3 linked regions of the Kluyveromyces lactis genome follow. Each later gene encodes a partner of the first gene's protein in a complex. Links are inferred from orthologs where the notes say so. Each region holds a gene or a part of one and is shown in the gene's direction. Other genes may lie near its edges.

The links.
Region 2: the proteins of CBF5 (region 1) and NOP10 are in contact, whole or in part, in a crystal structure (PDB 3U28), measured with the Saccharomyces cerevisiae proteins. The link is inferred for Kluyveromyces lactis from reciprocal best matches to the Saccharomyces cerevisiae genes CBF5 and NOP10. Residues at the interface, in NP_013276.1 of Saccharomyces cerevisiae: Asp65, Lys66, Pro67, Ser68, Trp78, Ile82, Thr99, Val124, Ile126, Ile175, Glu176, Asp178, Arg181, Leu183, Val185, Gln214, Glu215, Leu216, Arg217, Val219, Glu226, Asn227, Thr232, Leu233, His234, Met237, Asp238, Trp241, Tyr251; in NP_058135.1 of Saccharomyces cerevisiae: Met1, His2, Leu3, Gly11, Lys12, Arg13, Tyr15, Thr16, Leu17, Lys18, Ala30, His31, Pro32, Ala33, Arg34, Phe35, Ser36, Pro37, Asp39, Ser42, Arg43, Arg45, Val46.
Region 3: the proteins of CBF5 (region 1) and SHQ1 are in contact, whole or in part, in a crystal structure (PDB 3ZV0), measured with the Saccharomyces cerevisiae proteins. The link is inferred for Kluyveromyces lactis from reciprocal best matches to the Saccharomyces cerevisiae genes CBF5 and SHQ1. Residues at the interface, in NP_013276.1 of Saccharomyces cerevisiae: Ser20, Glu21, Trp22, Pro23, Leu24, Lys27, Leu49, Lys50, Arg51, Asp52, Ser274, Asn277, Ala278, Tyr281, Gly282, Ala283, Lys284, Pro288, Val336, Lys337, Arg338, Cys339, Arg343, Asp344, Pro347, Arg348, Arg349, Trp350, Leu352, Gly353; in NP_012162.3 of Saccharomyces cerevisiae: Ser181, Val182, Thr184, Ser185, Asn186, Gly187, Asp189, Lys215, Asp217, Pro218, Glu219, Tyr220, Val222, Ser223, Glu224, Met226, Thr227, Glu237, Ile238, Asn239, Thr319, Thr321, Thr322, Glu323, Trp326, Tyr379, Pro380, Leu381, Arg383, Asp421.

What each region holds. Positions count from the first base shown.
Region 1 is NC_006040.1:407,672-411,244, forward strand, and holds CBF5 (pseudouridine synthase CBF5), read left to right. Parts: upstream 1-1,633; coding exon 1,634-3,058; downstream 3,059-3,573. Other genes in the region: KLLA0_D04774g (uncharacterized protein), read left to right, coding at 1-1,175. UniProt on the Saccharomyces cerevisiae protein: Catalytic subunit of H/ACA small nucleolar ribonucleoprotein (H/ACA snoRNP) complex, which catalyzes pseudouridylation of rRNA. This involves the isomerization of uridine such that the ribose is subsequently attached to C5, instead of the normal N1.
Region 2 is NC_006039.1:1,464,500-1,466,550, forward strand, and holds NOP10 (snoRNP complex protein NOP10), read left to right. Parts: upstream 1-1,314; coding exon 1,315-1,488; downstream 1,489-2,051. Other genes in the region: ENT1 (epsin), read right to left, coding at 1-553; DAD4 (Dad4p), read right to left, coding at 1,710-1,928.
Region 3 is NC_006042.1:372,169-375,545, reverse strand, and holds SHQ1 (Hsp90 cochaperone SHQ1), read left to right. Parts: upstream 1-1,299; coding exon 1,300-2,727; downstream 2,728-3,377. Other genes in the region: DPH1 (2-(3-amino-3-carboxypropyl)histidine synthase), read right to left, coding at 1-956; BOP3 (Bop3p), read right to left, coding at 2,779-3,377.

The sequences.
Region 1 (3,573 bases):
ACGAACTTACAGAGAGATGTGAGTTCTATACCGAGAATTGCTCTTTGTTAGAGAGAGAAAATGAATCTTTGAAGGCAGTTGCCAGTGCATATCGTCAATTACAGGACATTGTCACGGAAAAAAACATTATAATAAGCTCATTGGAGGTAGAAAATCGTTCTTTGAAAAAGCAAGTGGAGACAAAGGCAAAGGATTTGGAGCTTTTGTCAGTGAAGCATGAAAGGGAAATTGCTAAATTAAAAGATCTCTCAAAGGCTGAAAGAGGCAGAATTTTAAAGGTTTGGGACAGAACAGACTACGAGAAGGCATTGGATTCAAAAGAAGAGGAAATCGTTAAGTTAAACCACCGTATCAGTCTATTGGATCTGATAATAGACAACAAGGTGACAGAAATAAAAAATAATGAGAGCAGATACAGGGGACTTGAGACAAAAGTTGCAATTTTAAGTAATGAAAACATAGTTTTAAAGTCAAAACATGACGAGGTTATCAAAAAGAAGAAGGAAGACCTTGCATTTTTCAATGAGAAGTTTCAAAAAAGGTTGTTAGCGATGAAACGTGAAATAGATAAAAATGCTGACATGTATCATAATGAACTACAAAGCTACAGGACTAATTACGAGAAAACTTTAAGTAGTGCCTTAAAAGTTACTCTTAAAGCAGAATCTGCGCTTAGTGCCATATACAGCAATAATGTGGATAGATTCGGGTCTACAAACCGGACTTTGAATTATTTTATGAAGAAAAGAGATATGTTCCAAAATATCAGAGACAATATGGTCTCCAACAAGCCCAAACCAGAATACAAACCTGCGATCACCATTACAAGTGTTAGTGATGGCATAGAAAATAAAGACAATAGAAACGAAGAGTTACACTACATATCAGAACAAAAACAAGGTTTTAATGATTCACTCCGTGAGCTTAAAGTAGCCAATGTGAATAGCAACTGTTCCTCAAGGTCGAAACACAACGCTAAACAAATTATACAAAAGCTCCGAGAGTGGAAGCAAAACCAAAACACATCAGAGCTATCGCCAGACAAAGAAGATTCCATATTTTCAACTGGAATTGAGACAGATTATTCAACTTCAAATATCGCACAGTTATCCACTAGGAACTGGGCTAGCGCTTTGAAGAACAACTATAACGCCAAGTACTTGGAATCTATCTGAATGAAAACAGCGTACTAAGTTAACAGAATTTAACCTAACATAATGAACATATTAGCAGCTAGTTTAGTCCATTAAATAAAAATGCAAACTCACTTCCTAGAAGGCTATAAAAACTACTCTCACTTGGCAATGCTATTTCCAATGTCTGTCATATATACTTAAACGTCAAGGTGAATATAATTCATTACCCGGAAATAATTGCTTTTTGAGATATCTGAAAATTTTCTACCTGAAGAAAAAAATTTGATGAAGACGATGAGATGAGATGAGCTTTAACAAGAAAAGTATAGAGTTCTATTAGAAGTAGATTCATCTTACTGGACTAAAAACTGTCACTTTAGTGTAGATTCTGCTTTACGATATTGTTGCTACTATCCTTTTATTGTTTTCTCTCGATATTTGAAGGAGATAGTGTACTGGATTGTTCGTTAGAAAGCTAATAAGTAAGATAGAGATCGATGTCTGACGAATTTGTTATTAAGCCAGAGAGTGTTTCACCATCTAGTAACACTAGTGAGTGGCCTTTATTGTTGAAGGACTATGACAAACTATTAGTCAGAAGTGGTCATTACACACCAATTCCAGCTGGTGCCTCTCCTTTGAAGAGAGATTTGAAGTCATATATCAGTTCTGGTGTCATCAATTTGGACAAACCTTCAAACCCATCTTCTCACGAAGTTGTTGCTTGGATCAAGCGTATCTTGCGTTGCGAAAAAACAGGTCATTCTGGTACTTTAGATCCTAAAGTCACTGGTTGTTTGATCGTCTGTGTTGACAGAGCTACCAGATTGGTCAAGTCTCAACAAGGTGCTGGTAAAGAGTATGTTTGTATCGTTAGATTGCACGATGCCCTTAAGGACGAGAAGGAATTGGGCAGAGGTTTAGAAAATTTGACTGGTGCTTTGTTCCAAAGACCTCCTTTAATTTCTGCTGTTAAGCGTCAATTACGTGTCCGTACCATTTATGACTCCAACTTGATCGAATTTGACAACAAGAGGAACTTGGGTGTTTTCTGGGCTTCCTGTGAAGCTGGTACTTATATGAGAACTTTATGTGTCCATCTTGGTATGCTTTTAGGTGTCGGTGGCCATATGCAAGAGTTGCGTCGTGTTAGATCCGGTGCTTTGTCCGAAAACGATAACTTGGTCACCCTACATGATGTTATGGATGCACAATGGGTATACGATAACACCAGGGATGAATCCTACCTAAGAAAGATCATTCAACCATTAGAAACTCTATTAGTCGGTTACAAAAGAATTGTTGTCAAAGATTCTGCTGTTAACGCTGTTTGTTACGGTGCCAAGTTGATGATTCCAGGTCTACTTCGTTATGAGGAAGGTATTGAATTATATGACGAAGTTGTATTAATCACCACCAAGGGTGAGGCCATTGCAGTTGCCATTGCTCAAATGTCTACTGTCGATTTAGCTACTTGTGACCACGGAGTTGTTGCCAAGGTTAAGAGATGTATCATGGAAAGAGACCTATATCCAAGAAGATGGGGTCTTGGTCCAATTGCCCAAAAGAAAAAACAAATGAAGGCTGACGGTAAGCTAGACAAATATGGCCGTGCCAACGAAAATACTCCAGAGACCTGGAAGAAGACTTACGTTTCATTGGAGAATGCTGAACCAACTACCGCCCCTGCATCCAAATCAGAAGAAAAACCACTGATCAAAGAAGTAGAAAAGAAGGAAGTCGAACAGAAGGAAGAATCAAAGGAAGAATCAAAGACACCAGAAGAAAAGAAGGACAAGAAGGAAAAGAAGGAGAAGAAGGACAAGAAGGAGAAAAAGGAAAAGAAGGAGAAGAAGGAGAAGAAGAGAAAGGCTGACGATGATGAGTCTTCCGAGAAGAAGAAGAAGAAGTCAAAGAAATAAACGACTACAATCTAAGTCCTTCATATCATCGATCGAAATTTCAAAACTGCATAGAGTTTATCATTTAGGTTATGTACACTGTAGAATATTTTTAATCATTGAAAAACGTATTTCGTCACGACTGTTTTTTGTACCCTGTGTCGATGTTGTATATCATTGTATTCGTATATATAAATTTGTAAATTATTTATGCGCGTGTGAAGACACCATTACGTCTTCAATTGAAGTAATGGCAAAAAGTAATGGTAAATGTATGAGGTAGATAGAAGATTTGATAATAATACTTGGAGTTTTTTTTTTTTTGGCAGACATCAATTGTTCGGAACCAAATAGAAGTCGGGAAACTTGCAGATTGGTATGTCTTTTATTTGCATGATGTCATTTGCTCAATAAAAAGGTAAATGAAGGTTAAAATCTATGCAAATGGTTACATTGTGAACAGAAGTCGAGGTGTCACAATGAAACGTCCCGTTTCTTACTTTACCAGTATTAACAATCATTGAATAATTCTCCTT
Region 2 (2,051 bases), on another chromosome or scaffold:
TCTCCTCTTCCTCCGCAGTGATCCTCGACTCCTCTAAAGCTCGTTGCAAATCGTCGTCATCTTCATTATCGTCACGTCTATTCTTCCTACCACCACGTTTCCTCCCCTTAAGCCTCATCATCCGTTCCTCCTTCAACCTCTCCTCGTCCCGTAATAACGCCGTCAACTCTTTCGCCTTCACTCTGACAATCTCACCGTTATCGATCTCGGTAAACTCATCGGTGTGTGTAAACTCACGCAACGTCTTAATAATGTAAAGGTTCTCTTTACACCAGAACACACAGTTCTCTGATCCGCATCTCACCAAGAAATCTAGACACGTTAGTGACTTGGCGACATGTCTCCAGTTCCGGCCTTTATCGTTTAATCTCTTGTCCAACATATCCATGATCTCGAAAAATTCCACGTTATCAAATGTCCTTTCAGCCAACTCTTCCAACTGATCAACGGACGGACCGTCCTTATCGTTAGAAGTGGCACTTCTAACGAGAACCTGAGCCTGAGAGTACCCATTGACTAAATTCTTTGCACTACGAAGAAATGCTTTGGACATCGTATAAATTTATCTGATCTCTTTAGTTTCTCGTAGAACTTACGAACCGAAACTCCTATATTACTGTTAATTTCGTTTTCAACACGATATACAACCTTCCGCTGTTTTCAACACAGGACCAAAATATATTATTCTTATCAGTGACAAGCCCTATGTCTATATCAAATTAAAGCTTTAATAGTCAATGTCTGTTCCTGTTCCTATTCCTATTCCTATTCCTATTTCTATTTCAATTTCAAATTTCGTTTTCGTCTTTTTTCATTTTTCCTTTGAAAGTTCCAGTTCCAGTTCCAGCTTCAGTTCCTGTCATAAAAACACTCATAGTAAGCAGGGTCCTTAACTATGTGTGGAAATGAGACCCCTTTTTTATAGGAGAGTGGCCGGGTAATACAAATAAAATACAAATAAAATACACACAGGTCACGTGAACACCCGATTACAAAAGTTTATCAATCAATCGATCATTGGAACCGATCCAGCCTCCTTCGTTTTACACGTGACTAGAAAAAGATAATCAAAACACATATCGCTACTTACGTTAGAGAATATATCATCAGATCACATGATACGAACTGGAATATTTCTTTTCCATCAAGTGCATCTGCTAAATTTTCAAAGAGATATAATCAGTTTTTCAACATAGCATTAACTAACTGATCGGTATAGCTCATCGCTTGAAAGAAAGTGTCTTGTTATCCATATATCTAGTTCCTTTTCACTTCCAACCAAAAGCATCTATCACACTCTACCCACTACCCACTATGCATTTGATGTACACTTTGGATGCCCAAGGCAAGAGAATCTATACTTTGAAGAAGATGACTGAGGATAATGAAATTACAAAGTCTGCTCACCCTGCTAGATTCTCTCCAGATGACAAATACTCCAGACAAAGAGTTACTTTGAAGAAGAGATACAACCTTTTGCCAAACTAAGGTCCCTACAAGTTGGAACACAATCCGCAGACAAAATTGCACCGGTTAAAACTCACTGAACATGAACAAAAAAAATTAATCCATTATTATCTGTAAATTAGAATCAGTACGGTCCTGAAACCGACTATAAAAAGGCGTATGTATATACGTACATACTACATCACTTAAGTAACTGCTTTTTTTTTTTAATAAATTCTTCTCGTTAGAATATATGTGAGACCTTACAATGGGTCCTGTTTCTTGGAAGTTGCCTGCAACTGGAAATCAACAGATTCTCTATAGTTCTCACACATTTGTGACATCAGTTCCAAATTCTTATTCTTGGTGTTTACCCTTCGAAGCTCTTGGTTTAGTATCACTACACTCTGGTTCAACCTTTCGACATTGCCAATGATTCTAGCCAGAATATTGCTTTGAACTTTCTCATACGGGTTTTCCATGGTATGTATCACAAATATAACTGATGACGGATAGTTATACACCAGTTTTGTAGCCTCTAGTGCCTGTGTTTTCCTTGTGGTTTACATTTTTGACCGATGTTTTGCATTTGAATACATGTTGGA
Region 3 (3,377 bases), on another chromosome or scaffold:
AGATTACCTTGTCTACCTAACGCGCCAAGTATCAAACCAACTTTCTTCGAACTGCGAGCTTTATCAATGGCAGATGCTCTTACCTCTACCAATTGCTTCTGATCGTAACGTTCTCTGGTGAATCTTCTATTATAGGGATCATATCTGAAAGCAGGAATTTCAGGGTTATGAATCATGGCCGATTCTAAATGAAACCTACCATCCCCAACATAAACCATCGCATCTATTTGTTCCTTGTTTAGTCTTTCAGAAGTACACCCAAGAACTTCACCCTTCGAAAGTGGTTTGATCTGAGGGGGGATGATATATAACATGTGTTCCTCCGACTGCAACAATTTGTCCTTCATACTATGGATAGTTGGATTAAACTGAATTGTTCCGAATGCAGCAATCCGTGAACCTCTTGGGAAGTTCTTCTGTAACGTCTTTATTAGATGTGTCTCATCAATATTGATAGTGACAAAGATGTAAAGTACCTTGATAGTAGTAATATCGATCGGAACTAAGCAGGAATGTGCATAATGGACAATGAAATCACAATCCAACGATCTTGCTGTATAGTCATCAATACAGCATGCACCATAAGAAACATCGCCCATAACCACAATCTCACACTGACAGAACTGCTCCAAAATATCACTTATCACCAAAGAGTATATGAGCAACCCTTCAGGCATTTGAATAGCAACACGCTTTGCTTTGTGCTTTCTAATGTTCCATACAGTTTTATGTATTTCAAAGTTATAGTTCGAGGGAAGAAGCTTGATAGCAGCATTTAACTCTTCGTCATTTAAAAGCTCCGGCGGTATCTGATTAATAGCATGACGAATGTTAGTCTTAGGCTTGATTTTCTTCACTAGCTCAGTGGTTGATCCCGAGGGATCACTTTCTTCTGCAGCTTTTTTGATACCAACAAACCTTCTTCTAGGCTTTTTCTCAACTTCACCCATAGTCATCACAAAAGGCGCTATTTAGCAATTGGAGCACAACACTTGCAGTTAAATGGTGTCTGGAACAGTAAAACCTAAACCGACTCATCTCATCTCATCTGTTGGTAATTCTTTTCAAATATCCAAAGTTGGAAATTTTTCTTTCTTTTCTGTAATCGTCTAAGTAATTTCTGATGACTGTAATTCTAAAAGGTCAAGGTATGTGCCACTGAGATGGGATTATATGTCCTTTTTAGTTGCTATAAACATAACTATCTGAATTGCTAATTTGACCACCCATTAATTTCAGAAACTATACAAGAAGTAACTTGGTACCGGAGTTTCGTATTTTACCGGTATAGTGTTCCTAATGATAACTCCAAGATTTACTGTCACTCAGGATGATGAATACATTTATGTACAAATTAAGGTGTCAAGCATAAGGTTTAACAGTGCTGGTGTAGAGGTTGTAATAGATGGTTGTATGTTTATCTTCCATTTGTCGCCGTATTATTTGAGGTTGAGATTATCAGATGAATTGGTGGAGGATGAAACTTTAAATACAGTGGAATATGATTCCAAACAAGAGAGCATCAATTGTAAGATTCTGAAGGCAGTTAAAGGTAAAGAGTTCAAGGACTTAGATCTCGCTAGCAAATTATTGGCAGCAAAGAATGAACCTAAAGTGACAGATGGGCCGTTGATTCAAGAAATTAGTAATGAGAAAGAATCAATTGCTGATATTCGAGAAGAAGGAGAGCATTTTGATTGGGAAATCAAACAAGAGGTTCAAGTAGATAATACACCAACAACGAAATACGGTTTCGATAATCTTTATACAGGATATATTGTTATGTCCGTTGCAAATGGCAATGACATTAACGAATTGGATGATCCTGAACATACTTCTCCCGAGAACAGAGTCAAGGAAAGATTGAAGAAGGAAAATTTGAAATTTGATCCAGAGTACTATGCTGCTGAATATATAACCATAAAACAGGGCGATGAAGAGGAAATCCAGATTAATGGCATAAAAAGATTGCTTGGGTACCTTCCTCCTCTTTGCGAAAGGTATCAGCAGTGGTTCGAAAGGTCAGACAATGAATCGAAGGAAAGAAATGTATCTTTTCCTGTGGAGTTCACCGAAGCGGAACAGACTCAGATGCAAGACCACATTCCTAAAAAGAAGTACTTAATAAATGACGTTAAAAGCCAATATCTAACGATATTATCAATATTATATTCTTACACTTTTGAGCAGATCGAAAATGAGGGACAACATACAACTGAAAGCCAATGGACAATCGGTAAATTGACCCCACAGATCTCAATGTTGGACCAACAGATTCTTCTATCCGAGTCTTTAATACATTTCTCTCAAATCAAAGGTACCATAGTAACAGGTATTAGAAGAGCTCTCAGCTATCCGTTGCATCGTAACTATGACCTCTGTATCAAAGCATGGCAGTTGGCTATCAAGCTGTTACTTGGAGGGAAACGTTTGGTAATAAAAGCGTTATTGGATATCCATGAACTATTCCGATACCATGATGTCTACTACGTTTACAATAAAATTCTGTTGGATGATCTTTGCGCATGGTTCATTTCTCAGGGAAACGATAATGTGATTCAATCACTAGCACTTCAAGCAAAGAAAGAGCTTGAATCGATCACAAAATCAGACATTGAATTTGAATGTATTTCAGGAATGAATGAGGAGACTGGCGAGGTTGAATGGGAAACATTGAATATCTCCGAAATAGAATATTTAGCAGAACAAGAAGAAATAGTACAATGAGTGCACTTATATAGATCAATTTTCCAACCATCTTTAATCCGGTAGTATCAATCAGGTATTTAATAAATTGTCCACATAGTTAGGACCTTTCAATAATGTTCGAGGAGGAGAAGGTGAGATCTTTTTGATATCATCGATAGTGGTGTCATTGCTACTATCATCACCGAAAGCATCGTCATTTGTTCCAACGGAGGATGGGTCAGATTCTTTTTCTACCTTTGAATTATTTTTTCCCGACGTGGGACTATCCCCATGATCATTAACATTATTTCCAATAGCAGAGCTACCTCTTGAATTCGACTGTTTAAAAGCAACCTGATTGATGGAGTTCAAATCAATGACACCAAAAGCAGAGTTTGTAGAATGTGTTCTTCTATGTTTCCTTACTGCATGTGGAAACGATGAAGGGCCCGTCGTCGTGAGTTTTCTTCCAGACCCTGGGTGATTCCCTGATAGATTTTGACCGTTATATGTTTGCCAAGCCGAAAAGTTTAACACTCCAGTCGTTGGTTCATTTTTGAAGATGGGCATTGACATCATTCTCTTATGTATATGCCTTTCAGAACCAATCGTTTTCCGCCTTTCATCATCATTACCATGCAATTCTTTTTCTTTAAGAGCCATACTACTGTTAAGAGCTGCCACAGCTT